4 linked regions of the Arabidopsis thaliana genome follow. The protein of the gene in region 4 interacts with the protein of the main gene of each other region in a pairwise test. Each region holds a gene or a part of one and is shown on either strand. Other genes may lie near its edges. The genes, in order: AT4G37445, AT1G62660, AT3G10290 and AT3G24570.

Evidence for each region.
Region 1: the proteins of AT3G24570 (region 4) and AT4G37445 interact in a protein complementation assay, tested with the Arabidopsis thaliana proteins (one large-scale study listed by BioGRID).
Region 2: the proteins of AT3G24570 (region 4) and AT1G62660 interact in a protein complementation assay, tested with the Arabidopsis thaliana proteins (one large-scale study listed by BioGRID).
Region 3: the proteins of AT3G24570 (region 4) and AT3G10290 interact in a protein complementation assay, tested with the Arabidopsis thaliana proteins (one large-scale study listed by BioGRID).

Annotation. Positions count from the first base shown.
Region 1 is NC_003075.7:17,602,238-17,608,903, reverse strand, and holds AT4G37445 (calcium ion-binding protein), read left to right. Parts: upstream 1-3,959; 5' UTR 3,960-3,985; coding exon 3,986-4,016; intron 4,017-4,106; exon of another isoform or gene 4,107-4,125; coding exon 4,126-4,240; intron 4,241-4,333; coding exon 4,334-4,394; intron 4,395-4,481; coding exon 4,482-4,760; 3' UTR 4,761-4,810; downstream 4,811-6,666. Other genes in the region: SRFR1 (Tetratricopeptide repeat (TPR)-like superfamily protein), read left to right, coding at 1-281; AGP18 (arabinogalactan protein 18), read left to right, coding at 1,963-2,712, 2,892-2,978; AT4G37440 (uncharacterized protein), read right to left, coding at 5,058-5,240, 5,314-5,792, 5,883-5,936, 6,042-6,358.
Region 2 is NC_003070.9:23,196,297-23,206,233, forward strand, and holds AT1G62660 (Glycosyl hydrolases family 32 protein), read left to right. Parts: upstream 1-3,315; 5' UTR 3,316-3,652; coding exon 3,653-4,010; exon of another isoform or gene 4,011-4,282; coding exon of another isoform or gene 4,283-4,346; coding exon 4,347-4,355; exon of another isoform or gene 4,356-5,135; coding exon 5,136-5,380; intron 5,381-5,618; coding exon 5,619-6,236; intron 6,237-6,331; coding exon 6,332-6,741; intron 6,742-6,826; coding exon 6,827-6,914; intron 6,915-7,000; coding exon 7,001-7,219; 3' UTR 7,220-7,512; downstream 7,513-9,937. Other genes in the region: RPF2 (rna processing factor 2), read right to left, coding at 8,477-9,937.
Region 3 is NC_003074.8:3,180,624-3,188,600, reverse strand, and holds AT3G10290 (Nucleotide-sugar transporter family protein), read left to right. Parts: upstream 1-3,173; 5' UTR 3,174-3,276; coding exon 3,277-3,864; intron 3,865-4,354; coding exon 4,355-4,458; intron 4,459-4,629; coding exon 4,630-4,858; intron 4,859-4,943; coding exon 4,944-5,090; 3' UTR 5,091-5,198; downstream 5,199-7,977. Other genes in the region: AT3G10300 (Calcium-binding EF-hand family protein), read right to left, coding at 526-775, 867-1,042, 1,155-1,201, 1,505-2,165; KCS14 (3-ketoacyl-CoA synthase 14), read right to left, coding at 7,013-7,815, 7,961-7,977.
Region 4 is NC_003074.8:8,964,093-8,972,245, forward strand, and holds AT3G24570 (Peroxisomal membrane 22 kDa (Mpv17/PMP22) family protein), read right to left. Parts: upstream 4,585-8,153; 5' UTR 4,532-4,584; coding exon of another isoform or gene 4,439-4,531; coding exon 4,286-4,438; coding exon of another isoform or gene 4,169-4,285; exon of another isoform or gene 3,424-4,168; intron 3,287-3,423; coding exon 3,147-3,286; intron 2,998-3,146; coding exon 2,583-2,997; 3' UTR 2,429-2,582; downstream 1-2,428. Other genes in the region: RSY3 (Adenine nucleotide alpha hydrolases-like superfamily protein), read left to right, coding at 35-229, 303-463, 544-720, 799-901, 979-1,088, 1,185-1,274, 1,359-1,439, 1,514-2,224 and 1 more; AT3G24575 (uncharacterized protein), read left to right, coding at 4,169-4,531; AT3G24580 (F-box and associated interaction domains-containing protein), read left to right, coding at 5,070-6,206; PLSP1 (plastidic type i signal peptidase 1), read left to right, coding at 6,545-7,072, 7,274-7,411, 7,489-7,575, 7,650-7,717, 7,817-7,928; AT3G24600 (late embryogenesis abundant protein, group 2), read right to left, coding at 8,103-8,153.

The sequences.
Region 1 (6,666 bases), on a different chromosome or scaffold from region 4:
TTATGCCATTAGCTCGAGGAACTGCTGTAACAGGATTTGTAGTGTTACTTGGACTTCTGCTTGCTGCTAATATGGAGTTCACTGAGACTATCCCGAAAGGGTTACAGATCGATTGGGAAGCTATACTTAATGTCGAACCGGGTTCCTTTGTTGATTCGGTTAAGTCTTGGTTATACCCGTCCCTGAAAATCAATACGTCGTGGAGAGACCATACGGAAATTTCCTCGGCTTTTTCGACAACAGGAGCGGTTGTTGCTGCGCTTAGCACTTACAACGATTGAGATTCAAATCTCTCTCTCTCTGTCTCTCCTTCTCTCTCTGTCTCTCTGTGTCTCTCTCACAATCTTTCATAAGAGGTGAAGAAGGCTAACTAAACCATGAGCAGTAAGAAAACTTGTGTTTCAGTCAAACATCTTCCGTCTGTTTCTGATCTAAAAAACAAAAAAAAAGCTAGAAAAGCTTTGTTAGGGTTTTAACTTTATTAACTCTCGTGTTTAATATAATTTTACAGATTTAATAATGTATCTAAATATGATTTCTCTGGTCTCAACATGAGAGGTTCCAACATGAGAGTTTACAACCCTTGGCCGATCTTATGTTGTTTTAAGTTTATTCTGACACCTCTTTTTTTAATACAATCTTCTGTCTGCTCTGATTGACAGCATTGATACCATGATCATATAACCGTTGCATGTTTCTGAAATCAATCTCAAAATAATTGCTTCATAGTAAAAAATGATTACAAGATTCGAGTTTCATTTATTATCGTTATAACACTCACTGTCTCATTCGTCAAAGTCTTTAACAAAGTCAACGAACGACCATTAGCTTGGGCTTTCTCTCCACCGACGCGCCGCTCTCAGAATTTCCACTTACTCATTGTCTTTATATTCAAAAACTCAAAAAAAAAAAAGTATTAAGAATGGCTTAAGACCGAAACGTGTTTTCTCCTAGTCTGGCAAAACACAAAATAATAAATATAAGGAAACGCTTATGAATACTTTTCAATATTCTACATAAAGTCATTGAAAGAAGGATTGGAACAAAGTGAGAAGCAACAAAAAGAAATCAAAATCGTAGCTCCTAAGCAATACGTTTCTTCATTGGCAACGGTTTTGATTCCATTTCGACTCGAATGAAAAAAGGCCAAAGAGTATTCAGGCAATTACGGTGACGGTGGCAACAAATTATAGATTAAAACGAGCCAAAATAGAAGAAAGTGCCAACAAATCCGTGTGGGCACCAATCCAAAGTGGCAAAATCAATCAACCAGCTGTCCTCTCCCTCTAACTTCCGATCAAAGACTCTCTTTTTTTTTGTTTACGTTTTCTTTTCCTCATTCTCCTTGTCTTATTTTGATTGCATTATATTGAACTTGAGTTTAATCATTTTTCATTATTAAGGTTATTTATTTATAGACGCATGATGCATCAAGTCATAATAATTTCACCCGTGATGATCACATAATAATACTAATCCAAGACTCCATGTGTCGTACCCCAAAAATTTATCTCAATTATACTATGTACCTTATATTGTGCTATTTTTTTAACTAATAATTTCCCGACAATTTAGTAGTTGGAAATTTCTCGACCGTGTGATATAATCTATAATATAAAATATCATAATTATTAAACAATGATAAAATTTGTGAGCGACATTGGTATCAATTTCAAATCCAATTATTATGTTGACACAAGACTAGTGATTTATAGTATAACCAATTTAATGTCTAACGTAAAAACAATTACTATTAATTGATTTTCTATATCTGATCATATGTTCAACAAAACACATGCTAATCTACCCACCATTGGCGAATAAATTTATTGCAGAATATAACAGGAGAAAAATGCCAAGAAAAAAAAATCCTTATAAAAACGCACAAGAAAAAAGTAAAAGAGCTATTCTGTAAAATAAAAATGAAAAAAGTATTGAATCCTACATTAATAGATACAGGATATGATGTTCTGTTTCTCAACGGCTACATCTGTCTGTGATCCTTTTTTAATCCAACGATCCAGATCTCTCCTCATCGCCTATATAAAACTCACTTCTCTTACATCAAACAAACAACACGCTTGGTTAAACTCCATCAGTACTTTAACCATCACTTCAAAGTTCAAACTCTTTTTTTTTTTTTTGTTTGATCCAAATTTTAACAAAATTATGGATCGCAATTTCCTCCTAACAGTTACATTGATCTGCATTGTCGTCGCCGGTGTCGGTGGCCAATCTCCTATCTCTTCTCCGACCAAATCTCCCACCACTCCTTCTGCTCCAACTACTTCCCCTACTAAATCCCCCGCCGTTACTTCTCCCACTACGGCTCCGGCGAAAACTCCAACTGCTTCGGCTTCTTCACCGGTTGAGTCACCAAAATCTCCGGCTCCTGTTAGCGAGTCGTCTCCACCACCGACACCTGTTCCAGAGAGCTCTCCTCCGGTTCCTGCACCAATGGTTTCTTCTCCAGTGAGCTCTCCACCGGTTCCAGCACCAGTAGCTGATTCTCCTCCAGCTCCGGTAGCCGCTCCGGTTGCTGATGTACCGGCTCCTGCTCCAAGCAAGCATAAGAAGACTACAAAGAAATCGAAAAAGCATCAAGCTGCACCTGCTCCGGCTCCGGAACTTCTCGGTCCACCTGCACCACCGACTGAATCTCCCGGACCTAACTCCGACGCTTTTTCTCCCGGTCCTTCCGCCGACGATCAGGTACATTAGCTTATATCAACAATGTTGATATTTATCTACCGTCACAAGTTCGAGTATCAATGTTAAAAATAACCAATGAGACATTTCAAAACAGTGAACATAGATTTTCAATTTTTGTTATATTGATTTAGTAATTACATATTCGATTAACTAAAATGAAAATATGGAATTGAATGCAGAGCGGAGCAGCGAGCACAAGGGTGTTGAGGAATGTAGCGGTGGGAGCGGTTGCAACCGCATGGGCCGTTCTCGTTATGGCATTCTAAATTATTTATCATTTCACCTCTGATATTTTTTAGTTTTTATATTTTTGACCCTACCATTGTCTCTTTCTTTACGAATTTGGTAATGAGTATTATTTAATTGATTATACAGTTTGTTTTCTTTTATTTTATTTATATGGAAATAATAAGAATTCATATCTGTCAGTGATGAAAATACTGTTTTACACATTGATTGTTCTTTTCTTTTGCAGACAAAAGTCCTTTAGTGATGGGTCCGAGTTCTTTATTGAAAATGACACATTCAATTTTAATGCAGAATTATGGACATTTACTCTAAAATAAAATGTTTGTGTAAGTAACGTCTATGTAACAATAAGCAAAGCAGTTACATAATTTGTTTTAGTCTTTTAAATGTTTAAAGTGTTAGTAAATCAAATGTTGATATTTACGTTTGAAACCAATTACATGTGTTTCTTTAAACAAATATTTACAATTGGAGTATAATTATGCGAGAATGAAAGTGTCAGCTACTTAGTTGGATCTTAGTCTTTTATAATGTGAAGTTGGTAAATATTTATTGAATTCATATCTGATACCCAACTCAAGTGGCCAAGTTGCTATAAATGAATTGTCTAAAATTTATTACTAAACATGTATAGATCCAACCAATCATATAATACAATGCTTTTTATTGTACCTTTCAAATAGCTAGATTCATATTTTTGTCTTGTTCCTTAGAGAACTAGATTTGAAAAAGAAAAAAATTAATGGATATCTAATATGGTAGGCAAAAAGAAAGTGAGAATAGAGGACAAGTCATATTCCCCATGCTTTTATTAAAAGTACATTACTCAACTGTGAAGAAATGGCTAAGATTTTGTAAGTAAAGCACAAGTTATACTTGAACCAAGGTCTTGTGTAGAGATTCAAGATTCTTGGCTTTGCAAAGACACAAACCCACCAAGCCAAGTCTCTGATTCCACACACCAATACAAATTTGTATATAAACATAACATTTTCTTCTTCCTAAAGACTAACTTCTAGACAATATGGGTAGTTCAATGGGCTTTCTCGGAAAAGGTTTTGCAATTTTTTAACCTAACAATTATCGACTCAAATCGTTATATAACCGTTTTGACAAATTTTCGTCCTATATATCTTTCTAAATAGATTTCGATATTTGGCCTAGGGGTACCACCGACGCAGATGATGAATATGGTAATGGGTTCACTCTACAAACAATTTACCCAAAAAGCTATCAACAACTTCGACGATTTCCACGTTGCTGTTTTAGACATCTTTAAGTAAGGATTGTTTCATTATTTGATCATTCGAAAACAATGGTTATGTTGGCCAACATTTTTTTTTTTAAAAGGAATTTTATCTATTGAGTGCAGCAACTTCAACTCGGCTTTACCAGGCAGGCACTTCGATTTCCCAACCCCGGACCAAATAAAGGTGAGTCCTCTCCTCTATCAAAATCACACAAAGAATCTTATAATAATTTCTCTATATTTTTAACACAATGTTGAATGATCTAAACAGGTTTGTTTCGCGCGGTGGAAGGAAGCGAAAGACGAAGAAGAGAAGAAAAAATTGTTCATTGAGTTCATGTCAAAGAGCGTGAAGCCAAGTAAACTCGATGATGTCACTATGATCACCGGAATAGTATCTCCACCGGCGGCAATGGCGGCTAAGAGAGCAGGAGAGAATGTTCCTCAGTTAAAATTAATCAAACTTATACCTGATGTTATATTCGTCCCTACGGTCACCATTTTAGCCATTGTCTCTGCCAAACTCTCTAGACGAATGTATTTGAAATAGTGTTTTAACTAAGCTTTCTTTCTTTTCCAAACAAAAAAAACTTAGCACCGACAAGATATAAAACATGATTGATTGATAATACAAAATAGAGAAAAATATATACACTCTAAATTATAGAAGTAAAGTTCAAAAGTTGATGTAGTTTGAATATATTGTTGACATGAAGAATCAAAACACAGCCACTATAAATATTTCTTTGTACTTTAAAGGCTTAAGAGTTAAGAATATCTTAGAATGAACAATTTTTACTTTTTAACACAAGATCCGATTAGTTACTTGAAAGTTTCCAAACCTTCTTCAGGATCTTCTTCGTAACCCGGCAGAGCCTGACCTTCGTTTTCCTCGCTTTCTCTTCCTGTTGGAAAACCTAGAAGCCATCACAGCATTAGACTTTGGCTTCTCTCTTGAAACCCGACGCCTCTTTGGGTTACTCTCTTCCTTCGTAATGATTTCACGATTGCGCGGTGTTCTTTTCCTTACCTGCGTTGTGTTAGAATGGCATATGAGACCAAAAGGGTTTAGCAAAGTTACACTGAGTTAGCGGAAAACTTACAGGTCTTGATGGACCTTCCTCAATTGAAGCTTGTTCTGTCTTCACTAGATTCTTATCGGGAATAATAGATTTCCCTTCCCTTCGCTTTGATGCTAGAATCTCAGACAGTAAAATATCTGTTGTCTCGTCGTCTTCAGGTGAGACGTGATGAGATGAAACTGAAGCAGATTTCACCGGTTTTTCTTCAGAGATGATCGATTTCTCATCTTCGTTTTTGATAGCCAGCAGGGGCTTTTGTTGTTCTGAGCTGGTGTATACATCAGCAGCTCCAAGTGGATTCACTGTGTTAGCCAGAGGGAATATACTTGGATTTTCACTCAAAACCTTGTCTACGCGGATCTTCAAGTTACGGGCTTCTGACTTTGCTGCTTCAATTTTCAAAAGTATCTGTTCCAAGTACGCATCGCCTTCTCTAAACTCGAGAGGCGGTGTCTCTTCAGAGAAAGCTGTCTCATCCTTGGCGCTCTTATTCTTCTTATCTGATGACCCAAGACAGAAAATATTTTATAAGATCAAAGTTTTCAAAAGGAGTAATATCATATCATAGTTGAGATTTTAGAACACCATACCTAGGTTGCGGGAGTTGTCATTAAGAGCAATATCGGCCAAAGATTTCCGACAATCTATACAAAGATCAGAAACAATAAGATAAGAAATTATTAGACAAGTAATGGTAGATGAACATTAATCACGACCAGAAAGACAAGAACACCAAACTAGTTCCATACCATAATAAGAGAAGAGATTATGGTTTGATGCATAGGATGTAACATCAGCGGTCTCTTCAACTCGCTTTCTCGTTTTCCTCTTCATGAGTCGGGTTTTCTGAGTATAACATGGAAGAGGAGGTAAAGCCTTTACTCCAAGTTCTTCTGATTTGACATTTTCTAACTCCAACTTCTTGGCTTGGTAATATTCTTCAACTTCTTTGTCGTACTTCTGTGCTTGGTTCTGAAGTTCTTTGTATTTGAGTTCAATCCATTTGCAACGCCACATTAAAGTAGGCTGTACAAACCTCCTCCAATGATCAGTCAGCTTCCTTTTTCTGCCATAAAAAGGAACAAACCATAATAATTACCGCATACCATTCACGATATAGAGCAATTCTTCTCCTGACTTCCTTAAAAGGAGATAAATCAAAGACGCAGCTAGCTAAGTCGTAGTAAAGTAACACACAAATTTAAGTCCTTTCAGAATCAATCAAACAACACATAGATGGAACTGATAGTGTTCAATAATAAGTAACAGTAAACAAGGCTACCAAATCCATGAAAATCTACAACACCAAATTAAGCTACAGACGTTTTTCTCATTAGTACAGGAACCCAAGTAACTCCTAAATTTCAGTCTTTT
Region 2 (9,937 bases), on a different chromosome or scaffold from region 4:
GATTTAGGTGATTAAATTTATGTTCTTGCAAGTGTCGTGTGAAACACCACCAATGATCAAAACGCCATAATATAAAACTACAAGTTCAAGTCATCCATAAAAACCAAATCTTCTATATATTTTCTGAAATATATTGGATATTTGGATGAGAAAAGTTTTACACAAATTAATGTCTCAGATAATATGATACAAATTCAAGTCCTGAGCAAATATGTATGAGAATCTATTAACTATGAACTGTATATATCTGTATATAAATATAATTAGATGTGTGTGCATAGGACTTTTTGAGACATTCTCACTTTTTTTTGCTTGACACAACCAGATGATTGGTGAAACCAAAACGGAACTAACCTATATACGATATGTGTTGAATTATTTTATTTTATATTTGCAGAAAAAATGTGTTAGTATATTGGATAATTTTCCAGGAGAGCACGTCTCATTCTGTGAGACCGAATGGGTCTTTTACATGTGGATCTAGTTTACACACATCTAACAATTTATATATTTTGTCGTTTTTTGATTATTTGAGATCTTGTCTTTCTATTTTAAATCAATTAAAAAGTACATATACAATCCACCAAAACAAAAAACTAAAAATCTAACAAAGAATATATGAAGAATGAACTGAAGACATGCTGCGGTAACAAAAGTTACAAGTGAAAGAAATCAGTAATTTTTTATTTATTTTAGAAGTGAATTTGGTTTGAGACAAACACGAACAATAAACTTATAAATCTACTTAATTAATTTTCTGCTTAGCTGAATGAGTTTCTAAAAAAATTTGGTTGCTTATTAAAGATTAAACAAAATGCCGATTGCAGATCTTTCACGTGGTTAATCAATTTATAAATTTTTAAAACAAAACAATCGAAGTTCAATTTTATTTTTGTCGTAATCGAAGTTCAATTGTTGGATACAGGTCTGACGCGATCGTGATAAGATTTTATATGCTATTTAAAAGAAATCATGTGGCCTGGCCAAACACACAAGTGTTATTAGTAAAAAACTATCTTCAGACTTGTTTTATATAAATACATTTATTTGTATCACCTATTATGAATTGTTTTTTCTCCATATATATACGTTGGGTTATATCTTATTTCAAGTGGGTAGCTTATACTCTCTCTGTTCCTTTTTGTTTGATTGTTTAGAAAAAACACACATATTAAGAAAATATATTAAATGTTGATTATAAATGTATTATTTTTAGTGTTTTACAGTTTTCTATAACTCTAAACCAATGATAGTTAACTATTTTTCTTGAAAATTACAATTCACCAATACTAACCAATAAATATTACATAGAAAACTTAAAAAATTAATCTTTTAGAAACAATTTTTTTTTCTAAACAATCAAACAAAAAGGAACAGAGGGAGTATTTAATTGCATCAGTTACAATTTTGAGAAACTCTCTTACTAAAAATAATATAAACAATTAATAAATAAGTAGAGAGAATGACAAAAATAAAAAATAGTTTCTCTGCAGAGAAACTTTGGAGTAATGATGGAAAAACTATATGTATAGGTATGTGTTTATAATTGGACAGAAACTAAATTATATTAAATATATATTTTTTTTTTTTTTGAAAAACTTTTAAAGTATATGTAAATCTATTGGTGAGATGGCTAAGTTTCTCTTCTTCTATTTTTTCCTTCTGGATATTAAGATCTATTATCTCATTATTATATGTTTAATCCAAGATAATCACTTACCTGCCGGAATTGATTCTCGTTATATGTAAATCATCATGTTAAACAGTTAAAAAAATTGTGATATGATCAAGTCCTATAAAAGTTTGAAATGATGATCAAACCCAAACAAAATTAAGCTTACAAAAAGAGAAAAAAATAATATATAAGCCTTATGTTTAACAAAATGTTTAGTTGATATAAGTCGTTTTTAGGATCTGATTGGTGCACATTTTAGCTGAAGAAAATGACTCTTAACGTCAGCTCAAAACATACCAATCAAGTAAAAAGACAAGAGAAAATAACTATGCTAGCTCTACTCTTCATATAACTGTAAAAAGAAAGAGATGTTTTCACCAATACAATAGGATGAAAATACTTTTCTTTTTTGTTTACTCCATTTAAAAGAGTTACTTTTACTCTATATTTATTATTTATACCAATGAAATCAGACATTTATATCAGTTTATAAGAGGAAATAAAACTTTAAAGAAAAGAGAGAAACATAGCTTTTCGCCAATTTTCACTGTGTATCTGTATTCAAATAATTAGAGTAAAACAAAAAAAAATTATACCCAATCTTAACATAATTATTTTCAGCCTTTATTTTTCAGCTAAGATGATTTACCAATCAATTTTTAGGTGAGATAGTTATGATGCCTAATAAATTGGAGGTGCAAAGTTCAACAAAAATTTTACTTTTATGTTTAATTGAAAAAGACTGCTTCTCAGTTTAAGAACTATGGCCCATTTATAGATACTGATTAAAACGTGGATTGTAAAATGTGGGCAATCAATATTATTTTAAAAATGTGGAGCCATAGTTATTAACTGTGATTAAATTTCCCCCTCCTCCACTTTCACGCAAACTAATATTTAAAACAGTCTTAACTGTGATTCAAGTAATAAGATTTTTCTTTTATTATTATTTGACAGTACTTCCTCCGTATCATTTTAAGTGATATTTTAGGAAATGTTTTTAGAATGTAGAGTTGTAGAGGAAAAACTAGCAGAAAAACAAAAATGCAATTTATATATAGTACAGAAGGTTAGTTTAATTGTGTTTCGAGTTAAATCTCTTTTTTGATATGGAAAATTATTCTTTAAATTAAAATATTTAACATTTGACTTTGGATAGGAGAAGATTAAAAGCTGAAAAGCTGGAACTTCAACACTTTTGAGAAAAGTGAGCTACAATAGTATTAATCTTACCATTTACTGATAAATAAATATATACTTTCTGTTCAATTTTAATAGTTTTCAAATTTATTCTTGTTGCACATAAACAACATAGGATATATAATTTTTTTAGTTAGGAAATATATGCTTTTACGTTTCTATGAAAATTCTAGATATGATTATAATTTACTCTTAAAATATGAAATAGAAAAATGGAGTGGAATATTATTATTTAGAAAGATATATATATATATATATATATATATATTTGTTTGTATGCAGAATGTTAGACCAATATAATTAGTGGACATTTCTATAAAAAAACAAAAAATTGTGGAATGGATGGGATAAAAAAAAAAGAGAGATCAAAGATAACATTTTAAGATGTTTTTCTTTCTTTAATTTTCAACAATTTTAGGCAATTTAGTAGTAGGGGGAAATGTATTTCTATGAAAATCCAAATATATGCTAATGTATGCAACAAGGAAAGATATAGTAACCAAAACTCCACTTCATATTACAAACAATAATTATTTTTATAAAAGTATTGACTTGTCGTCTGCAAACGTGATTACGTGAACCTTACTGGTAATAATACAAAAATCACAGCTCTAATTTGCCAACCCAATCCAGATCTCTCTAGTTCTCAACTTCTCATATAATTATTCATTAATATATTTATTTTGAGATTTTGGTTGATTTTTTGATATATAAATATTGGACTTGCCATTTTCTATTACAACCATCAAATCTCAATAAAGCAAAACGAACAAGAAAATGGCGAGCACGGAAGCTCTCTTACCCGTCACGTCCCTACAAGATCCATTATCTGAGTCAAGATCCGACCAGATCCCGGAGACCCGTCGGAGACGACCCATCAAAGTTCATCTTGCAGTCTATTCCGGTTTGCTCTTGATCGCTTTGTACGTCACTCTCATCGTCACACACGACGGCTCCAAGGCTGAAATAGCGACGGAGTCACGTCCTCGTATGGCCGGCGTGTCGGAGAAGAGCAACGACGGGGTTTGGATATCATCCGATGATGGGAAAGTTGAAGCGTTCCCGTGGAACAATACTATTTTGTCGTGGCAACGCACGGCGTTTCATTTCCAGCCTGAGAAAAATTGGATGAACGGTACGAACATAAAATGTTCTTCTAAAAGATTATTTTATTAGGTATGAATAATTGATTAATTAATCATTATTGATTTTTATATTGTTAAAATAGCTAAACAAAAGTGTTTCATCTTTACAAAGAATGTTCATTTTTCCTTTTTCTATAGATTTGAATTTCGTAACCATTTATGAGACCATAACTTGAGGAACAAGATTTAAGTAAACACGCAAGAGTGAATTTCAATAATTTTGTTATTGTATATTACTGTATCATTTGTAATTAATTTGTTGATGTTGTTTTGTTGTCTATCGAATGGCGTCGTGAATGGCAAATTTCTGGCTTCTTCGTCTGCAGATCCTAATGGTAAGCTCTAGATCCTACACTGAAGTCTTCTATTTTTGTGCTTCTAAAGATTTCCTTTGACCATTATTTATTTTATATAAAATAAAATATGGATTATAAAAATTTTGATTGGCTACACAATTGATAGATATATTTCAAACCCGTAAAATAGTATTGGTAGATAGATATATGACAACAAGGCACGTCCTTTGCGGACTACAATTAATGTCATTGGATAAAATTGAAAAAGAAATATTGGCAAAAACATTTATTAATTTACACGTAAAAAGTTTTTTTGTTTATAATGTAAAGTAAACAGACAAAATCTGAACAGAAAGAGTCATTAAAGCCAATCAGTTTACTTTGTTTTTGCCTGTTTTGTATATACACCACGTGAGTCATGTGCATATTGTACAAATCATTGCTCACCTATTATTGTGTTTGGACAGTCCCCATTTGACTCATTCTATTAACCCAATTGTAACTGAAACGTCATATTTTATTTATTTTCTTCCTTAAAAGTCACAAATATACAGTAATAACAGCTTATTGAAGTTATGAAACGTCGTACTTTATTGTGGTGTTTTATTAAGTAAACGTGTTTCTTCTATTGTTTTTTATTGTTTTTAAACCACTATCTCAGCATTTCAGAACAGAGGATGAATATATTATGCTATCATTTCGAATTTATATTAGTAAATTTGAAGTCATAATTATACTTTTTGAATGCTAATACTCAATTTGTGATTATTTTACCAGTGAAATGTTAATCCGAACAAATGAAATGTTAAACGTGTCCAGGTCCATTGTTCTATAAGGGATGGTACCATTTCTTCTATCAATACAACCCAAATGCAGCTGTGTGGGGTGACATTGTTTGGGGTCACGCCGTGTCAAAAGACCTTATCCACTGGCTTTATCTCCCAATAGCCATGGTTCCTGACCAATGGTACGATGCAAACGGTGTCTGGACCGGTTCAGCCACTTTTCTAGATGATGGCTCCATTGTCATGCTCTACACCGGTTCCACTGACGAATTCGTACAGGTACTGAGTTTCTTAAAATCTTTGTTCGTTTTGTTAACTAATTTTTAATATTGAATTTTCCATCAGTTTTTGAAAGTGCTTTTGATGGATTTACAGTAATAAGTAACTATATAATAAGTATTGTATTGTTGCCGAATTCGTATCTAGCACACTAAAAAACATCATAATTGGTTACAAATCTTTTCAATCTAAGGTTGGTCTGACAAATCAATGGCTGATATCATTTTGATTATTTTAGGTTCAAAACCTTGCCTATCCTGAAGACCCAAGCGACCCACTTTTGTTGAAATGGGTCAAGTTCTCCGGTAACCCTGTCCTCGTACCGCCTCCAGGTATTGGTGCAAAGGACTTCCGTGACCCAACAACAGCCTGGAAGACATCTTCTGGAAAATGGCGAATCACCATCGGTTCCAAAATCAATAGAACCGGAATATCTCTCATTTATGACACTACCGATTTCAAAACCTACGAGAAACACGAAACCTTGTTGCACCAAGTCCCCAACACCGGAATGTGGGAGTGCGTTGATTTTTACCCGGTGTCGAAGACTCAGCTCAATGGGCTCGATACTTCGGTCAACGGACCAGATGTCAAGCATGTCATCAAGGCTAGCATGGACGATACTAGAATTGACCATTATGCCATTGGGACGTACGATGATTCAAACGCTACATGGGTCCCCGATAATCCTTCTATCGATGTCGGAATCAGTACCGGTTTGAGATACGATTACGGGAAATATTATGCGTCAAAGACGTTTTACGATCAAAATAAGGGACGAAGAATCTTATGGGGTTGGATCGGTGAATCTGACAGTGAAGCTGCTGATGTACAAAAGGGTTGGTCTTCTGTTCAGGTACCTTTTCTTCACGTAGCGTGCTATGAACGTTAGGTCTTTGAGTTACTTGTTACCCGAGTTAGGGCTTAACTTTTTTTTGTAACCATGATCAGGGCATCCCAAGAACTGTTGTATTGGACACAAGGACGCATAAAAACTTAGTCCAGTGGCCAGTTGAGGAAATCAAATCATTGAGACTAAGCAGCAAGAAATTTGACATGACTATTGGACCAGGGACTGTGGTTCCGGTCGATGTGGGTTCCGCCACTCAGCTAGACATAGAGGCTGAGTTCGAGATCAAGACCGATGATCTCAAGTTATTCTTTGATGATGACTCTGTGGAGGCCGACAATAAATTCAGCTGCGAAACAAACGGAGGCTCCACAGCGCGTGGTGCTTTAGGGCCTTTTGGATTCTCGGTTCTCGCTGACGAGGGCTTGTCAGAACAAACTCCGGTTTACTTCTATGTGACTAAGGGAAAACATTCAAAACTCAATACTGTCTTCTGCACTGACACCTCAAGGTTATCAATCTATACCCATATATTAATAGATTCTTCTATTATACAAATCAAGTAATTATTAATTAATCAAAATCATTTTTTATAGGTCGACTTTGGCAAACGATGTGGTGAAACCAATCTATGGAAGCTTCGTACCGGTCTTAAAAGGAGAGAAATTGACAATGAGAATCTTGGTATTACATTAATAACCTTATTCATTAGTTTTCGTAAAATAATTTAATATCTTTCCGTTGTTATTAATTTAAATGTTTATTATTAGGTTGATCATTCGATCGTAGAAGGATTCGCACAAGGTGGAAGATCATGTATTACCTCAAGAGTATATCCCACAAAAGCTATCTATGGAGCTACCAAGCTCTTCTTGTTCAATAACGCCATTGATGCGACCGTTACGGCGTCGTTTACGGTCTGGCAAATGAACAATGCTTTTATTCATCCTTACTCTTCAGACGATCTCGGTGTTCCTTCCAGCACCTGATGAGTTTTCTCATCCTTTCTTGTTAGTCTTTTGATTGTTGTTAAATAATATGGGTTTGATTTTATCTGTGTTTGATTCATCATGTGAGTGAAGAGAAGAAAATAACATTTATTTTCTCCTTTTTTGAAAGAGTAAATTATTTTCTTCGTACAACATCAATAAATATGAAAGAACAACGTCACCGATTATCTTTGTAACCTTTTCCACACTTTCACCGATCAATTGCGTGATGCATGATGTTGAATCATCCGTTTGCATGACATGACGTTAAGAAGAAAGTTTGAATATGTAAAACATTCTTCATTTTTTCTAGAGAGGTCAAATTCTGTCTCTAACTTACCTTCGTACACAAAGCCGTGCGAGTTCTAATGCTGGTACAGACTTCAATTTCCTTGACCAATTTTTGAATGTCCAAGAGCAAGTTGTAAAATGGCCAAGAACTCCACTTTTCTTGGCAATTTCGTGTTAAATGGAATCCACAACCAAACAATAGAAATAACAAAAGAGCTGTTCTCAACTGTAATAATGATTTGCATCTTGCGAACATCACTGTAATGTCATTTTTCGTCTCATGTGAAATCATATATCAAGTGTTCTGAATGATCATATGAGCAAAGAATGTGATATGGAGACTATAACTTTCTTATAGACGGTTGTATCCAATAAAATGGGAAGTTTTAGCTGCCTTCATTACCTCGAAATAAAGGAGATAGGCAGAAATTTACCTTTGTTAATGCGGGTTCTGGTAATGAGCTTTTTATACAGAATTCCACAATTTTTTCGAGATATCAAATTGTAATTTGTGAGCTTTTTATTTTATCTCCTACAAGACCACTAAAACAGTTGTAACCATGACTCAATATGAGTTAAAAAGCTTAGCAGTTCACAAGACAATCACCAAACAAAAATCATTGAGCTTTGTGAAAAAGAAGGAAGGGGAGAAACAAAAGCAAAGTCACCCTCGAGCCCGAAAAATCTCAATTCGAAATCTGAAATCTGCTTGAAGAGTGCTCCTTATCAACCCTTGTTTGCAGCCTAACAGTAGTAACAGATAAATAACAAAGATTAGTATCAGTCATGTTCAAGAAGCTTACACAAAACCGTAACCAAAATATACACATATTTATCTGCCTGTAACATGAGAACATCCGTTAAGAAATAAGCAACGTAAAAAGGTTAATTCACCTCGCAGATGCTGCTTTCAAGGGGATATGGTTTGCTCGACTATTCTCTCGACTCAAGGATGATGAAACTGTTTTAAGAAAGCATATCGAGGAAGCTTTTGTCCAATCTCCCATCATGTAACATATTAGTGACCAAGCCAATGGTTGAAGCATCTCCAGCAAACCCGCAACTCCTCATTTCTTTGATGAGTTCAGCTGATGCTTCTCTGTCACCATCTCTAAGGCGTGCCCTAATCAGCGTATTATAGCAACCGCTGTTTGGAAGAGTCCCATCTTCTTTCATTTCTTTAAATAAGGCATCTGCTTCCTCCTTTGAACCTTTCCTACAAAATCCTGATATCATTGTATTGTACGCTACAACATCCGGCTTCACTCCTTTAAGGCTGAGATTACAAAATAGATCCCACCCATCTTCCACCTTCCCTGCCTTGCACATCCCTTCAATCATAATATTATATGTGTAAATAGTAGGTTCCATTTTACTCCTTTGCAGATACTCGAATACAACCATTGCTTTCTCTAGCTTCCCATTTTTACAAAGTCCATCTAACAAAGTGTTGTATGTCATAATATTGGGAGGCACGCCATCAGATACCATCTCTTTGAATATTTCTTGAGCCATATCACAATCTCCAGCTTGAAATAACCCTTGGATAAGAATGTTGTAAGTGACAGTGTTGCCAACCAATCCTCTTTGAGACATCTCACGGAAGACTTCCATACCCTCTTCTACCCTTTTATACTTGCAAAATCCCTTTATAAGCGTATTATAAGTCACTACATCTGGAAAACAATGCTTGCTAACCATGAACTCAAACATCTGCTTGGCCTCGTCTAGACGATCGTGCATACAAAACCCGTTGATCAATGAACTGTATGTGACAATACTAGGATCTATGGACCTTTTGACCATCTCGTCGTACAATTTCTCAGCCTCTACAAGCTTGCCCTCCTTCACAAACGCATCGATCAATGCGCTGAAAGTGAATACATCAGGGTTGATTTTCCTCTCAATCATATCACTAAGGAGGCGAGAGGCATCACTCCATCTTCCGTAATTACAAAGGCAACTTATGAGGGAGCTGTAGGTAACAACATTTGGTCTAATGCCTTTTGTTTCCATTTCTTTAAATAGGTTGAGCGCATCATCCATATGTTTGTATTTGCAAAGACCATCAATGATTGTGTTGTAGATCAAAACACCAGGTTCTAATTTCCCTTGTTCCATCTTGTTGAGCAGATTAAAAGCCAAATCAGTATCACCTCTCTTACATAATCCATTTACTACCACTCCATAAGTAACCAGATCTGGTTGACAACCTTTTGCAACCATTCGATCAATTAAAGCCATTGCTTCTGAAGCTTTGTTGTGAAGAAAAAGTCCATGGATTAGAGTGTTAAATGTGACGGTATTGGGTTGATACCCCGTTACGAACATCTGATCAACCAAAGCTACAGCCTCGGATATCCTCTTACTGTGGCAATACCCATTGAGCAGCGAAGAAAGCGTGACAATATTGGGCTCATAGCCAAG
Region 3 (7,977 bases), 5.8 Mb from region 4:
TTTTTCTTTAATTGAGTCAAAAAATTTATAAATAATGCGAACCATGAAAATTTGCATTTTCACCAACTATTAAGATACACTAGATCATCTGTGCTAAATATTATATTTTAATAAATATAAATTTTAATTATTTAATCATTTACTCATGCAATGAACGACTACTGTTAATATTAAAATACATTTTCTAGCAACAATCTTCGTCCTAAACCATTGCGTACGTAATAGATTTGATTTTGGCTTCTTCATACCCATTTGGATTACTTGGCCTCGAAACTTAAGAAAATCGAGTTTCACTTTTTGAAACACAAATGCTGTCGTTACTGTAATTGGAAATATTGGGCTCTTAGTCCATTCAAACTTATTCCACAAGATTGGTTACTAAGGTTTTGCTCATATGAAAAGAAGACCCACGTCTGAATCTTACCGGAGAAAGATAAAAAGACAACAAATAAAATATCCAAAAGCTCACAAAGAAAATAGAGTTAGAAAACAATCTCTTTGGTCAACAAAAAAAAAAAAAAACAATCACTCAAGCGACGAGGAATGGTAAAACAGTGAGCATGAAGTTCTCGTAATTGAAAATAGCTGAGCCTGATAACGCCGTATCCTTCTCCTTGAACTTCTCGGTGAGCCCCTGCGATTATTTTTTATCAAAACATAACATACATTAGACACATTGTAAAGGAACAATCTTGAATAATTCAAATGGTAGAATTGCATGAGAATGTGACGACCCAAGCCATGAAAATAGCATACCTTTACAGTCAAACAACACCTACATCAATGGAAAATAAACCAGAATCAGTGATGAATTATACTTGTTACAGAGTAAGAAAAGGTAAGGGGGTTGAAACGAATGAACATACTCGATGAAATTGTCATATTCGATAGCCCTGTTCCTGCCTCCGCTTTTGTCAAACTTTGAAACCAGCAGATCCAAAATCACAGGAGAAACAGAAAACCCAAGGCTCATGAGTGCATCTCTCAGCTCGTTTGTATCTATTCTACCGCTTCTGTCCTTATCAAACCTCTCAAAGATAGACTGAAACCAATTCCAAAGAAGCAACACCAAACAAAACCCACATGAGCTAACAACTCCCAACATTCTTGACCAACAATTATCATCAAACCATTAGAAAAACCTTTGAACTTACCCTCCAATTCTGAAGACTAAAGAAAAGTGAAGTAAACTCTTTTGGTCCTGCAATTTGGAGTTCTTAAATCAGTATATACTCAAAAACCAGGCTAGCAGGGAGAATAATTAAAAATTTGACTTTTTTTAATACTTTCAACTTGAATTAATAATAATACAACTTGAGGATTTGGCACCAACGATCATCAAAGTCAAACCAAACAATATGCAGAGGAAAATTCAACAAGATAATTCCAAAAACTCAAACCTAGATTGTTGAAGCAAGACAATCTTCTAGTTCTAGAAAGCGCAAAAAAGGAAAGACCTAGAACAATCAATTTGAGATCAGTTTGAAAGAAAGAAGAAACTGACCAATCTTCCTGACATTGCTGTTGGTGAATAGATACATAAGGAGATGAACAGTTCTTATGCTGAAGCTCTGATTATACGAAGATAGAGCTCCTTGAAGCTCCTTATCATCGATGAATCCACTATTGTCCCGATCCGCAGCTTGGAAACAAGCCACAATGTTCGGATCTGTTCCGGGAGGAAACGCCGACGGAACCAGAGACGCAAACGGACTTCCATAAGAAGCTTGCGGAGGAGGAGCTCCGTAACCTCCTCCATGTCCAGACTGCTGCGGCGCTCCTCCGTAACCTCCTCCATGTCCAGACTGCTGCGGCGCTCCTCCGTAACCACCGTAGTCGGAAGGTCCAGACGATGGATGAGCACCGTAGCCACCGGGAGATGGAGATCCGTAGGAGGCGCCGTGAGGTTTCTCTTTGTGCGGCTTATTATGGTCTCCTGGAAGAGACGCGTACGGTGCTGACGGTGGTGCACCGTAAGGAGCGGGCTGAGCTCCGTAGGGAACTGCGTACGGTGAGGAGGCTGATGATCCGTACGGAGGAGGAGGATTGCTGCCGGATGATCCGTACGGAGGAGGGTTATTGCCGGTTGATCCGTACGGTGGCTGAGGAGGTGGTGGATTACCGCCGTAACCGTAACCTTGGCTTGATGGAGGATAACCAGACATGGTGAGAAGAAGAAGAGAAGCTTTCAGAGAGATCAACGAAGAAGAAAGTGAAAAAATTAGTTTGCGAAATTTGGAATTATGATATAATGAAGAAGGAAATTAGCTAAGTCAGATATTTTGGGGTTTGGATTATTACGATGAAGCCATTAGTTAAGAACGAATTAGCTCTGTACGCGTTGAGGGGTGAAATCGTAATTTTAAGATGATATACGCGGCTGACGCGTGACGACTGACGCGTCAATTAAAATGAACGAAACGGCTGAGGCCCATTAATGAAATGAAATGGCAGACGAAAAAACAAGAATGTATTGAGAGCCTTGAGGCCCAGTATATTAGTTTTTTTCTTTTGGTAGGAGGCCCAGTATATTAGTTAATTATCCAAATAATTCATATCTCGCACACATTTTTCTTTATATCATGAAAAGTGAAAACTAAGAGAAACGTTAAAACTTCTAATTTCGTGATACATGCCATCAAATAGCCACTAACAATCTCAAAATCTTATATAAACCAAACATGAACCAACAACAAGTCCAAAATAAATAAACCAACAAGGCAAAAAGAGACTCCCAATAGAATACGTAAGTTGTTTTTAGTATTATACATTTTTGTTAATAAACCAAAATGTACAGACAAAATCTAACAAGTTTTCATGATTTTACGAATCACAAGTTTTAGATATAAAGTATAATATAAAGAAGTTCTGAGACATTGGCCTAGTCCTACTAATAAAGAATAAATCTAGACTTTTGGACCATTTTTTGGTAAAGAGCCGAATTTTTTACCTAATCTGGGGGAAAAAGATTTTGTTTATTAAATTTTATTTTCCTCTTTGATTATCATAATAATCAATGTAACACAAATACAACAGTTTTATACATAATAATTTCAAAACTCCTAAATAAGATTAGTCAATTCAACTTTTCTCAAATATACTTTCCAATTTAAAAATACATTAATTAGTCAACTGCACATTAATTAATATATAGATTTCAACTTAATAATACATTAATTATCCCAAACAAATAATTTGTCAGTTCAACATATATTTATATATCTTTAAAAAAATTAAAACCTTCGTTTTTTTGTAATCCATCTGAGCGCTTCAAGAATGTCGTCCCATGCTCGAGGTAAGGAGCTAATTCCTCTCCTGTCTTTCTCCCACCAAAAAAAACAACCAAATCTCTCGATCTCATCGACGACGAAGATGAACAAGAAGAACCCAGATCAGAAATCCGACATGTCGTCTTCTTCATCTTCTCCGAAGAAACAAACCCTCTTCATATCATCCTTAATCATTCTCTGGTACACCTCCAACATCGGTGTTCTTCTCCTCAACAAGTTCCTCCTCTCCAATTACGGATTCAAATTCCCTATTTTCCTCACAATGTGTCACATGTCCGCTTGCGCTATCCTCAGCTACGTCTCCATCGTCTTCCTCAAGCTCGTCCCTCTCCAATACCTCAAATCTCGTTCTCAGTTTCTCAAGGTTGCGACTCTCAGCATTGTCTTTTGTGCCTCTGTCGTCGGTGGAAACATCTCCCTTCGTTATCTCCCTGTCTCCTTTAATCAAGCCGTTGGTGCTACGACGCCGTTTTTCACTGCACTCTTCGCTTATATCATGACCTTTAAGAGAGAAGCTTGGGTCACTTATGGCGCTCTCGTCCCCGTTGTTACCGGTGTCGTTATCGCCAGTGGGGTACGTCTTTTTCTCTACAATTCTCGTAATGAAAACGTCTTTGGTTGTTGATTTTGATTCTGCCGATTTTGAAATATGTGTTCTTTTACCTGTAGATTGTGATGTCTGATTTGTTGTTAGTTTAGAGCCATTCAAGATGATTGTTTGTGTTCCACGTATGTGTCTGAAACCCAAAATAGGTTTGCTTAGTTTCATGAATGTGATTACATTCAGTATACAAATTCAATTTTCCCTGTCAAGTACAAATTTGAGTCCTCTGTGGCTGTATTATCTACTTATCTAAAGCTTCATCCTTTAATGCGTTATTCCAGTCATGTGTTATCTAAAGCTTCAGACTTTCTTCTTGTAACTATTGCCATTCTTACATTCTACATTGTTCTGTGAATTATTTGATCTCTTTGCTAGGCCTTAGCTATTGAATGTTTTGTTTGTTGATTATGGGATTTCTGTATTGAATGATCCTGCTCTGGGTCTGCCTTTGTGGTTACAGGGTGAACCAGGTTTTCACTGGTTTGGATTCATTATGTGCATTAGTGCTACTGCAGCAAGAGCTTTTAAATCTGTTCTTCAAGGCATCTTACTTTCTTCCGAGGGGTAAATCCGTTAACTTTTCTTTTGCATTTGGTTACTCAATGAATCAGAAAACCTTATTATATGCTATAATAATGTAAAAGGTTCTGCAACTACAGTTGGATAAGCAAAGTAGGAAGCTGAAGCTACTAATGCTCATCTTAGGGTTTAACAGATCGTTAAGTTTTCTTGCAGAGAAAGGTTGAATTCGATGAATTTGATGCTGTACATGTCTCCAATAGCCGTCATTGCTCTTCTGCCTGTCACAATTTTTATGGAGCCGGACGTGATGAGTGTGACACTAACACTCGGAAGACAACATAAGTACATGTATATACTTCTGCTGGTTAACTCTGTAATGGCTTATTCAGCCAACTTGTTAAACTTTCTGGTTACCAAGCACACAAGCGCACTTACCCTGCAGGTAAAAATACTGAAAAGATTTTGAACTTAAACAAAACTAGAGGAGTGCCTAATTGGATCAAACATGTGTATGTTTAATGTTTCAGGTCCTTGGAAATGCTAAAGGAGCGGTTGCAGTTGTGATATCGATCCTGCTTTTCCGAAACCCGGTAACGGTGATGGGAATTGGCGGGTACAGTATAACCGTTCTCGGGGTGGTTGCTTATGGAGAGACTAAACGCAGGTTTAGATGAAGCTCAAAGACTGATATTTTCACTTAACTCATTTTTGTATCTTAACCTATAGACTTATACTTACTTATATATGTAGGTCGATTCTATGACTTATGTTCTTTTTGTTCTGGAGTTGTTGTGTTGCAAACTTGCCAGACACTTTGTATTCACTCACTCAGAACCATAAAATGATCCAGTTAAATTCATTTTTTTAGTTCGATTCTACCAATACGCAGGTTTAGATGAACGCAACACAACAATTCATGTATACGTATAAAGAAACTGAATCTGTCAAACTGTGGCATGTTGCAACCTTCTGGCATCAAATGAGAAATCGGGTCTGCCCATTCCACATGGAAGATGACCATTGTTTACATTCAAAACCAGAATACAATGGTCTCTTCCGGTCTTCAACCCATTTTCCCTTTGCAGAGTTACAAACTGAATAGGAAACCAAAATGCATCACAAAACCAGACTATAATATCTTGAGATTCAAAAACTTTGGATCATAAACTTACTAAATAGTAGAAGACATAGCCAAAAAAAAATGAATACTAAAAGCTGTGGAGAGCATATAAATACCTGAAGAAGATGAAAACTGACGTTATACATCAAAAAGAGAATCATGAAGCGAGTTTTCCTCAGAAACCAGGAGTAAAATCACCAAAAGAATGATGATAATCAAGGCAAGTGATACACTCCCTCTGAATATATGACTTTTTACCACCAGACATCTTAGAGATTATCATCAACAAAGAAAACGCTTAAGCTCTTCTATATGAATTGCATTGGTTTTAATTTTGTTCCAAGCTTTTTGTTTGACAACAGTTTTGATACTTCGGAAAAGAGAAGTAAATAAATATAAACATAGGAAGGGAGGAGCTACATGTCTACTATTTTTATTTTATAAGCCAATCAGAGCGTTTCATGTCATACCCCACTCTCACCTCTCGGGCAATTTCACACCCACTCTCACCAATCGCGTGATGAGCGCGTGTATACGTTTTCTGTGGGTTCTAACCCACCAAATGGCTTGTTTTGAAACACACTCGCTCCTTTAAAAAAAAGCCTCGAGTGCGTGATTTCAGTGTCTTTCTCCTTTAATTCCAATTCAAACCCAACCGAAATCAATTGAATTTTTCAAAACCATGTAAACCGAACCGAAATTAAAACACAAACGACAAACTAGCAATTGTCACTTCCACTATTGATCCAACTCCGACGAACCAGATTGATAATTTTGATTCGATTCCACACAGATAACATATAGTCCAAACCAAACGCAATTCATAAGAGAGCCAAATTATTACGCTATGTTCGAAGCTTTTTTAACTTGCCACAAATCAATTCACAAAATAAGAAATTGTGCTCAGAAATTTTCAGAAGAATTCTCGATCATAACTTTATGCGGTGGTGGTGGCTGTGAATAGCCAACGGAGATTGCTCCATGAGAAATTGAACCGGCATCGCCGCCGGTTTCATTGTCCACATAGTAACTCCGATTGCTGTGCGAGTTTATCTCAGTCTCCCTTATTGCGGTAATGGTGAAACCAGTCCACATATATTTTAATCAATGGATTATTGGGCTTTTTATATTAGGCCCATTAAATTCATCCGGCTTTTAAATAAAATGAGTTTTGTGATAGTCCGAGACCATTGCATTCCTCAGTGAATACAACAACATTATCTGTCTTACTAAATGTAAATGACCATATCAACAAAAAAAAATCGACTTGTTTGTCAATAAATAAAAATTCCTCGATTTCCATATTCATATAAAAGAAATAGATACCAAATTGTTGGCAAAAACAAGCAAATAATACATATTTGTGGGGAGAGAAACAAAAAAAAAAGCTACACTTTAATAGAAAGCTAATAACATATTGTTGACTTATGATAACTTGTAACGTGACTTCACACGCGTAGTAGTATTACTTAAAACTTAGGTCACGTGAACTGGATACTTATGAACCGAGTCACCCCACGGGTTACCCACCAATGACTCGTTAGCCGGAATCGTTCTCAATGCTCTCCACACAATACTATTACATTTAAAACCCGACCCAAACGCCAACTGCCAAACCCTATCTCCTCGTTTGACCCGACATTTAGCCTCCACGTAAGCCAGCTCGTACCACAGCGACGAGCTTGAAGTGTTTCCAAAGCGGTGCAAAGTCATCCGAGACGGCTCAAGATCAAACTCACTAAGTCCAAGACCTTTTTCAACCGCGTCAAGTAACGCTCTACCACCAGCGTGAATACAGAAATGCTTGAAACATAGTTTAAAATCCGGAACATATGGACTAACCTTTAACCGGAAAAGCTTACTCTTTACCAAAAAGAGGATAAACCGGAGTTTTTCAGATAAAGGCAAAACAAGCGGACCAAGTGCTGTTAGATTCGTCTTTAACGTGTCACCAGCAACAACCGTTAGTTCTTTAGAGAGTGCGACTCCAACGATACCTTTACTATCTTCTTTTTGTTCAGCACAAGTGTAGTGTTTATCGCTAGAGCCTTTGTGAGTCCTTACAATATGAGTCAATTCGTACTTAGACCGGACTCGGTCTTGACTCCGGTTTGAGAGCATAACCGCAGCGCCACCTACTCGGAATAGACAGTTAGGGACTAACATTGACCGGTCGTTGCCTCGATACATGCTTAGAGTCATGTTCTCCGTACTAACAATAACTGCGTAGGTATTAGGGTTTGCCTTTAGTAGATTTGTGGCGAGGTCCACGGAGATTCCTAAAGAAAGTTCAAGAAGCTATGAAGAGTGGTAAACTCTAAAAGGAAAGATAGAAACTGGGGAGTTGGCTGATAAAGATGGACAGTAACGATTGCGTAATATAAATTTATCGGCCTCGTCAAGCCCCGGCGCTGCATCCCATACCGGAGAGATTGTAAGTT
Region 4 (8,153 bases):
CAGTGATTGGATAAAATTGTGTTGTGTGTTTCAGCTTTGGGAGTTTCAGGTGGTCCTGATAGTATGGCTCTTTGTGTTCTAACTGCAAAATGGAAAACTGAAGGATTAAGTTGTGTTAATAAGACAGATGGTTTTATTGATGGACTTGTTGCTATAGTTGTTGATCATGGATTAAGACAAGAGAGTAAAGATGAAGCTGAACTTGTCTGTTCTAGAGTTTCTCAAATGGGTTAGTTTTTAGAGTAAGAACATTTGATGTAACCTTTTTGAGTATGTTTTAGTAACTTGAGGAACGTTTATAGGAATCAGATGTGAGATTGCAAGTTGTGATTGGGTTGATGGTAGACCAAAGCTTGGCCACTTGCAAGAAGCAGCTCGTGAAATGAGGTATGAGATGATTTCGAATGTGTGTTTTCGACAACAGATTGAGGTCTTGCTTATAGCGCATCATGCAGATGACCAGGTAAAAGGGTCTTTGAGAATTTAGAGAAGTAAAGTGTTATGTTGAGATGTTCATGAAATGTTGTCTGAAGTTGGATGCAGGCTGAGTTATTCATTCTCAGGTTATCTCGTAGTAGCGGTGTACTTGGTCTTGCGGGTACAGCTTTTGCTTCCGAGATTTTCTCCAGAAATCTGCAGTTAGATGCAAAACATATGAAGAACCAATCTATTCGCTTAGTGCGTCCGCTACTAGATTTATGGAAAGAAGACATGTACAAGGTTCTCTTAAAACTAGAAACTCAAGAATTTATCGTTTTATGGTTTGTTGACATCAACTCTTATCTTATTTCCTAGCAGATATGTCAATGGGGTAGACAAGATTGGGTTGAAGATCCAACTAATCGTAGTCAGTTGTTTGTTCGGAATAGGATTCGAACATCAATAGGAAATCTAGAATCAGGCAAGTCTATCAAACATCAAACCAAACTTGTTCTCTAAATCTTGATGACTAATATAAGTTATTGTTTTCCTTTTCAGGTAGCTTCAAGTCAGAGCTGCAAGCAGTCATTTCTGAATGCAGGAGAACACGTTCATTTGTTGATAAAGTTTGTACAGACTTAATACATCAGACCGTAACAGTGACAGATGTAAGAGCATTTTCCAGTTTAAGCACATATGTATAAACTGTTTCTGGATCGGGTAAGTGTGAAAATTCATCTCTGTTTTGATGTTGGAATTAGCAGAAAGGGTATGCTATTCTTGATCTAGAGAGACTTAATCCTTCAGGAGTTAAAGACATTTGCCTCTCAAAGTATCTCTTTGCGGTCCTGCAGGTGTTACATCTTGAGTTTTTTTCTTTGGTAAAGTTACTGCCCTTTGAGTGTTTTCTTGACTATTCTTTGCTCTCGAATCTGCAGTTTATCTCTCAACGGCAAAGACCAATCAGAGGAAACACTTCAAAGTTGCTTTTGAACTATATCCGCGCAATTCCGTGCAGGGTAATCATTTTCAAAGTTGTTCTGTTTCTCTAGATTTTGATCTGTACTAACATTTGCTTCATTTGGCTACTCAGACATCTCTAACAGCTGCTGGTTGCTACCTTAGTCCTGCTCCAGGGTCGAAGGGTACCAAAATTATAGTCTCATGTTCTGTTGACTGTCCTTTACCATCAAAGACAGAACTCTTGAACATTTCCTTCAATGAAACTCCATCTGATGACCTTGGACAAATCATAGCAGACGCAAAATCGTTTTCTGACCATGTGGCTCCAACCAGCTTGTTTGAAGTCCAGTTTCTGGATGTTGCATCTGAATCCGTATTGAGTAAAGCCAGAGAGCTCAATCTTCTCAGCGAATCGACGTATACAACCATTGGTCTACTGCAGAGGGATGAAACTAAACGGTTTTTAACTAAAACAGAAGAGAAATCAGTGGAATTAGAGCATGGAACCAACATTGCAGCTTCCTCTGATAAAGTACATCTTTGTCTAGGGCAAAATCTCTACTTCATGAACCGTTTTCTCATCAGATGGAACCTAAGTGACCACCAATGTAATGAAGCAGACTGCAGAAATTGTCCAGTGAGTACTGCTACATCAATGGAGGTTCGGCACATGGTTGAACCCGACTGGTTATATCTAGCTGAGCTTTCAAAATGCTCAACCTCAAATCATTCTATTTCATCCTCACAAAAAGCTCTCAGGTCCTTAAAGTTGATCCCAGCCGCTGCAAGAAAAAGCCTTCCTGTCTTGGTCAATCACTGTGGATTACTACTCTGCATACCAGTATGTGAAATCACCATTTTAAATCATTTGTTTTGTCGGATTTAACTATAAGACCATACATTGATTCTCGTCTCTGTGTTTTCAGGCTATTGGCTTCAGTTATTGTTCATGCCTTGAGGCATCTGCAGTGTTTCTTCCAAGAATACCACTCGGAGGCGGTCATAGCTCATTTCTCTAGTCTAGCCATATCATGTTGCATTCATTCAATACTAACAGACATTTATTCACTTGTACTGAATTCTCGTGAAACGAAATAATATTTGATTCAAGAATCTGTATCCTAGGCAACTTCCGTTATTGAAAATCGCCAATTACACTCGTTTTTGTTTTCATTCAAAGTTTATGACAGGGAAAACGATCATACTCCGCCTTGGCCACCTCGTTCTTTTAATGGTTGAAATGATGAAGTAAACCATTGCTTCCAAGCTGCGTCCTTCTGTTGCTCGACCCATGAGAGGAAGGCACTGTCTACTAGGCAAAAGATGTTGACGTAAAGCAACTGGTATTGCACGGGAACATATCTGAAGTTTGCAATCTGAAGAAGTGGCCATGCTCCGCCTTCAAGAGCTAGAGCCGGAAGAAAATCTCTCTTGAGTCCTTCTTTCACTTCAGCTGTGTTCTTTCCTGTGGCGAATCCCATGTATGTGAAGAACACCAGTAGATCTACAGGTCCAAAGATAAGACCATCCATTGCAACTTTTGCAGCTACAAAACGTGTTGACTTTGGTACATATCGAAGCTTCAGTTTTATGAATTTATCCAAGCCTTCGTACCTGTGCAACCGCAAATAGAACAATATCAGGTTTATCAATCTACCATAGACAATTCTTTATCAGTATCTGATTCAGTGTCACTAGTTTATGTGAGCGGTAACACGAGGAAAAGCTATAACGAAATGATCTGAGATCAGAAGGAAACAAACCAGAAGTGGCCAACAGGTCCGACAAAACCAAATCCAAACATGCTCGTGATAGCTACTCGCTTCCAGTTGACTTTGAATTCTGCATCTTGCTTCCACTTGACCTTAATTTCTGCATCTGCGTCAGCATCTTTATTTGTTTCCTGTTATATTGAACATGGTTTTAGTGCTTGAGCCAAGGTAAGTCAATAAAATCTCAATATATAGCCTAAACTCAGAAACAATATACCATGACCTCTAAAGGCAAATGAATTTTAAGGATTGTCTCACAGCAGAAGATGTTATAAGTAAAGAAGTATCGCATAATTTCATAAAAGGTAAGCAGTAGACTAGAGCTGCTAATCCATAACGGCATGAACATGTATCACCAATGGACCAAAGGGCGATTTATATTGCAATGTTAACATGAAAATACCACACCAACAACATAGAGAGTCACAAAACACATTGTCTCCATTAGTATCTTTTACGTATTGGTATCACCATACCATATAAGCTCTCTTCTGAACTGTTCAAACTTTGAAAAGAACTCTGAAGCTGTAGTAGCCCACAGTTCTGGCTTAAGCATTAAAATGTCTTCGATTGTTGGAAAAAATAGCCATTAGGAAATCATGGAATCTCAGCAAACAAGTAAATGGACGTTATACTACAAGAAATTTCACACAGCCATAGAGAGAGCCTAGAAAAGAATCCGAGTGCTATTGCTCAATTACAACTTAGGCAACACAACCTAAAGTTCCAGTATCTATCTAATAGAGACCATAAGCTAACAAGAAATCACAGAAAACTGTAAACGGAGAAGACGAACTCAAATCCTTGAAAGATTTAGCAGCAAGAAGGTGAGAACAACGGGAAAATATTCCAAGTATCAAAGAAAAACTCCAGAAACAGCATCAAGGTCTAAGGAAGAACTACATAAATCAACACATTGATGAAGCATTACCACATTCACTGAAATGTCGCGAATATACTGATGCACAAGAACCAATTGACGCAGATATATCACGAAACCCAGAGATACATAGATGCAAATTCAAAAACCTAAAACTAATTTCATCAATCCGCACGAATCGGAGAGAAACTCCAATTTGAAACTTCAATCGAAGGTGAGAGAGAGAGAAGGAGATCGGAAAATGACTAACGGTGAGACGAAGAAGACGACGTTTCGCAGTGGAATGAGTGATGTATTGAGCGGTGACATCGCCAAATCCCCAAAGAAATCCAGAACTGATGACCTGAGTTTTCACAGGATGAACCGTCAGGCATCGCTGGTACCATCTCCAAAGCTTCAACATTATGTACCAGCCGTATTCGCCGTCGCCGCGAGAGAGAGAGATTGGGACCTGTCACCTGTGACGGAGAGCCGCCGTGGAAGAAGGCGATTGTGATTGGTTAGAAGAAAGAGGTTGATACAGTGCTTAAGCTTTCTTCTTAAACGTCTTCTTCTCTTTTTAATTTTTTAATCACTTCTTTTTTTCGAGTCAACAGTCAACACTACAAAAAGGCTGTTGCAATATCATTGGGCTTTTACCAATCAACATTTTCTTTCCGGCCCATTAACATTTAACATTCTAATTTAATTTGTTTTTTGTGTTGACGATGAAGAAAATTGGGTCAAATGAGAAACCTCTCATTTTAACCTCTCTATTTTTTAGGATTTTAAACCCCCAAAATTTCCCTATACACTCTATCTTGCGGCGGAAGAAATCTGTAATCACAAAGGAAAAGGTTAATAGTTTTTTTTCTTTCTCTTTTTTAAATATTTTGTTTTGTCGTCATCGAATCTTTTCGTTTAGGGTTATCTGATGTTACATCAAGGTTAAAGAAAACCGATAATCACAGAAGCATATAGAAATCGTTTTTGAAGGTACATCGATCATCGTTGAGACTTACTACGTTACAACGATCATCGTTGAGACTTAAACAATGACGAAGATGTCTAATCTCCCTAATGATTTGGCGGAAGAGGTGCTCTCTAGGGTTTCGTTAACATCTCTGAGAAACGTCCGACTTACTTGTAAAGATTGGAATACTTTATCTAAAGGTGAGAGCTTTGCAAAGAATCACCTTGGTTATCAAGCAATAGTAGCAGCGAAGGAAAAAGAGTTTATGATGGTCCTGATGATGGATTTTAGGGTTTATTTGATTCGAGTCAACGTTCACAATGACATTGAGTCGTGTATTAAGCCTGAAGGTGAGCTTATTAGCTTGGGCGATGAAGTCGATGTATCTCAAGTCTTTCACTGCGACGGTTTATTGCTATGCATCACGGAAGATAACGAAGATAACGCTAAGGTCGTTCTTTGGAACCCGTATTGGGGGCAAACACGGTGGATCGAGTCTACAAATAATTTCCACAAATTGGACATGTATACGTATGCTCTCGGATACAAGAAGAGCAGCAAATCAAGCCGCAGCTACAAAATCTTGAGATTTATTGATTTTTCTCCCACTTGTTCTGAGTTCAAAATCTACAATATCAACTCTGATTCATGGAAGGTTCTTGATGTGTCTCCAGACTGGAAGATAGATTCTTATATTCGTGGCGTGTCTCTCAAGGGAAATACATACTGGATTGCTAGAGAGAGGCACGGATACGGCCATACTTTCTTAGTCTGTTTTGATTTCACAAGAGAGAGATTTAGGTCGCGTTTACCTCTGCCGAGTCAGCCGTGTGTTTTAGATACCGTGAGTCTATCTAGTGTTAGAGAAGAGCAGCTTGCTGTTTTATTTCAGTGCTCAAGTACATTGGAGATGCAGATCTGGGTAACAACCAAAATTGAGCCCAATGCGGTGTTGTGGAACAGCAAGGTGTTCTTAGCTGTGGATATGCACTCACTTAAGTTTCAGTTTCAAGTTAGAGCTTCGAGTTTCTTTATCGACGAGGAGAAGAGAGTTGTTGTTGTTTTTGATAAAGAAAAACGTTATTTAGCGTCCTCTCGCAACAAAGCTTACATCGTTGGAGTGGATGGAACCTGGGAACAAGTGGACCTTGGAATGTCTGTAGACAAATTTGTTTACCCACTTGTGTGCTCTTATGTTCCAAGTTTAGTGCATTTTTGATTAGTATATTCTACAAAACCTGTAATCTGTTTCTTGCATATTTATACCCTTGTTTTTTCTCTTTTATCATGTTGATTGAACAAGATTATTAACTCTCCACAACTAGGATTCTCTTATTGCTCTGATCATGTCAGTATCTGTATAAAAGTGTCCAAGCCATTGTGTTCCTTTTTAACAGAGAACGCAACTACCGACTTCTCACAACATATCAAATGCCAAATGTGAACTAATGTAACCAAACAATGTTTTTTGGATAATTCACATTGCACAAATGCTTGTATCTGTAGTTTCCAATTTTCTTAAAGGGTGTTTTGGACATTTCGATCTTTTTTTTTGATATGGTAAATAAAATTACAAACAATTATATTTTTCCGAGAAAGCCATTGTTTCAGTTGATGATGGTGATGATATCTCTTCACTTCTCTACTCCGCCGCTAGCTTTTCTCAAATCTGATTCCAATTCCAGATTTCTCAAGAACCCTAATCCTAATTTTATCCAATTCACCCCAAAATCCCAACTTCTTTTCCCCCAACGTCTCAATTTCAACACCGGAACAAATTTAAACCGGCGAACTCTGAGTTGCTATGGGATTAAGGATTCAAGTGAGACAACGAAGTCTGCGCCGTCATTAGACTCCGGCGACGGTGGCGGCGGAGATGGTGGTGATGATGATAAAGGTGAAGTGGAGGAAAAAAACAGACTTTTTCCGGAATGGTTGGATTTTACCTCGGATGATGCACAGACTGTGTTTGTGGCTATAGCTGTATCGTTGGCGTTTCGTTATTTTATCGCAGAACCAAGATATATTCCTTCTTTGTCTATGTATCCTACTTTTGATGTTGGAGACAGATTAGTTGCAGAGAAGGTATTGTTTTCTTTATATTAGTTTAGCTTTGTAATCATGAGCTTTAGTTTAGGAATTGGGAAGCTATGGTTTAGTTTTATCAGATTACAATGTCAAAGGTTACATCTTTAGAGTTAAAGATAGTTTTTTAGTATGAGCTCAAGAGATTCTCATTGATTGGTTTTTGGTGTTTGTTACTAAGATGTGGTGTTGATGTTTCAGGTGAGTTATTATTTCAGGAAGCCTTGTGCAAATGATATTGTCATCTTTAAAAGTCCACCAGTTCTTCAGGAAGTTGGGTATACTGATGCCGATGTATTTATTAAACGGATTGTTGCCAAAGAAGGTGACCTTGTGGAGGTATGTATGATCATATTTTTGGCTCTTGGCTTGTAATAGTGAAGCTGATGGTTATTTTGATTTGGGGTAATGTGTAGGTACATAATGGGAAACTGATGGTTAATGGTGTTGCTAGGAATGAAAAATTCATCTTAGAGCCTCCTGGTTATGAAATGACACCAATTGTAAGTATTATCAAAAGAACCTGAAGCTTGTGGTTTTTCTTCTTTTTCTGATTTTGGTTGCTTCAACATTGTAGAGGGTACCGGAAAATTCAGTCTTTGTGATGGGTGATAACCGGAATAACAGTTATGATTCGCACGTATGGTGAGAAGCCTATTTGTTCATCTGGTTTTAGAATTTTATCACAGGATTTAGCTTCTTCTTGGATTGTTCCTTATTGTGGAAAACTTGTGTTGTCTTCAGGGGTCCTCTGCCTTTGAAGAATATTATTGGACGGTCGGTTTTTCGGTATTGGCCACCAAACAGAGTAAGCGGGACAGTGCTAGAAGGTGGCTGTGCTGTGGATAAGCAATAGAACATATTGTAACGTTTTGATTCGGCATGTCTTCATTTGAAACACTTGTGCAGATAAAAACGAAAACAATGTACCTTTTTATGAAGGAGAGAGTTGCACATTTGAATTAGATTGCAGATTAATGAGGAAACAAGAAATTCTTATTTGCAAAATGGAGATATGATGAAAATTTGTTTACTTGGTAACGAGTTTACAGGTCTTGTGAGTGAATTCTATGGGTTTGGA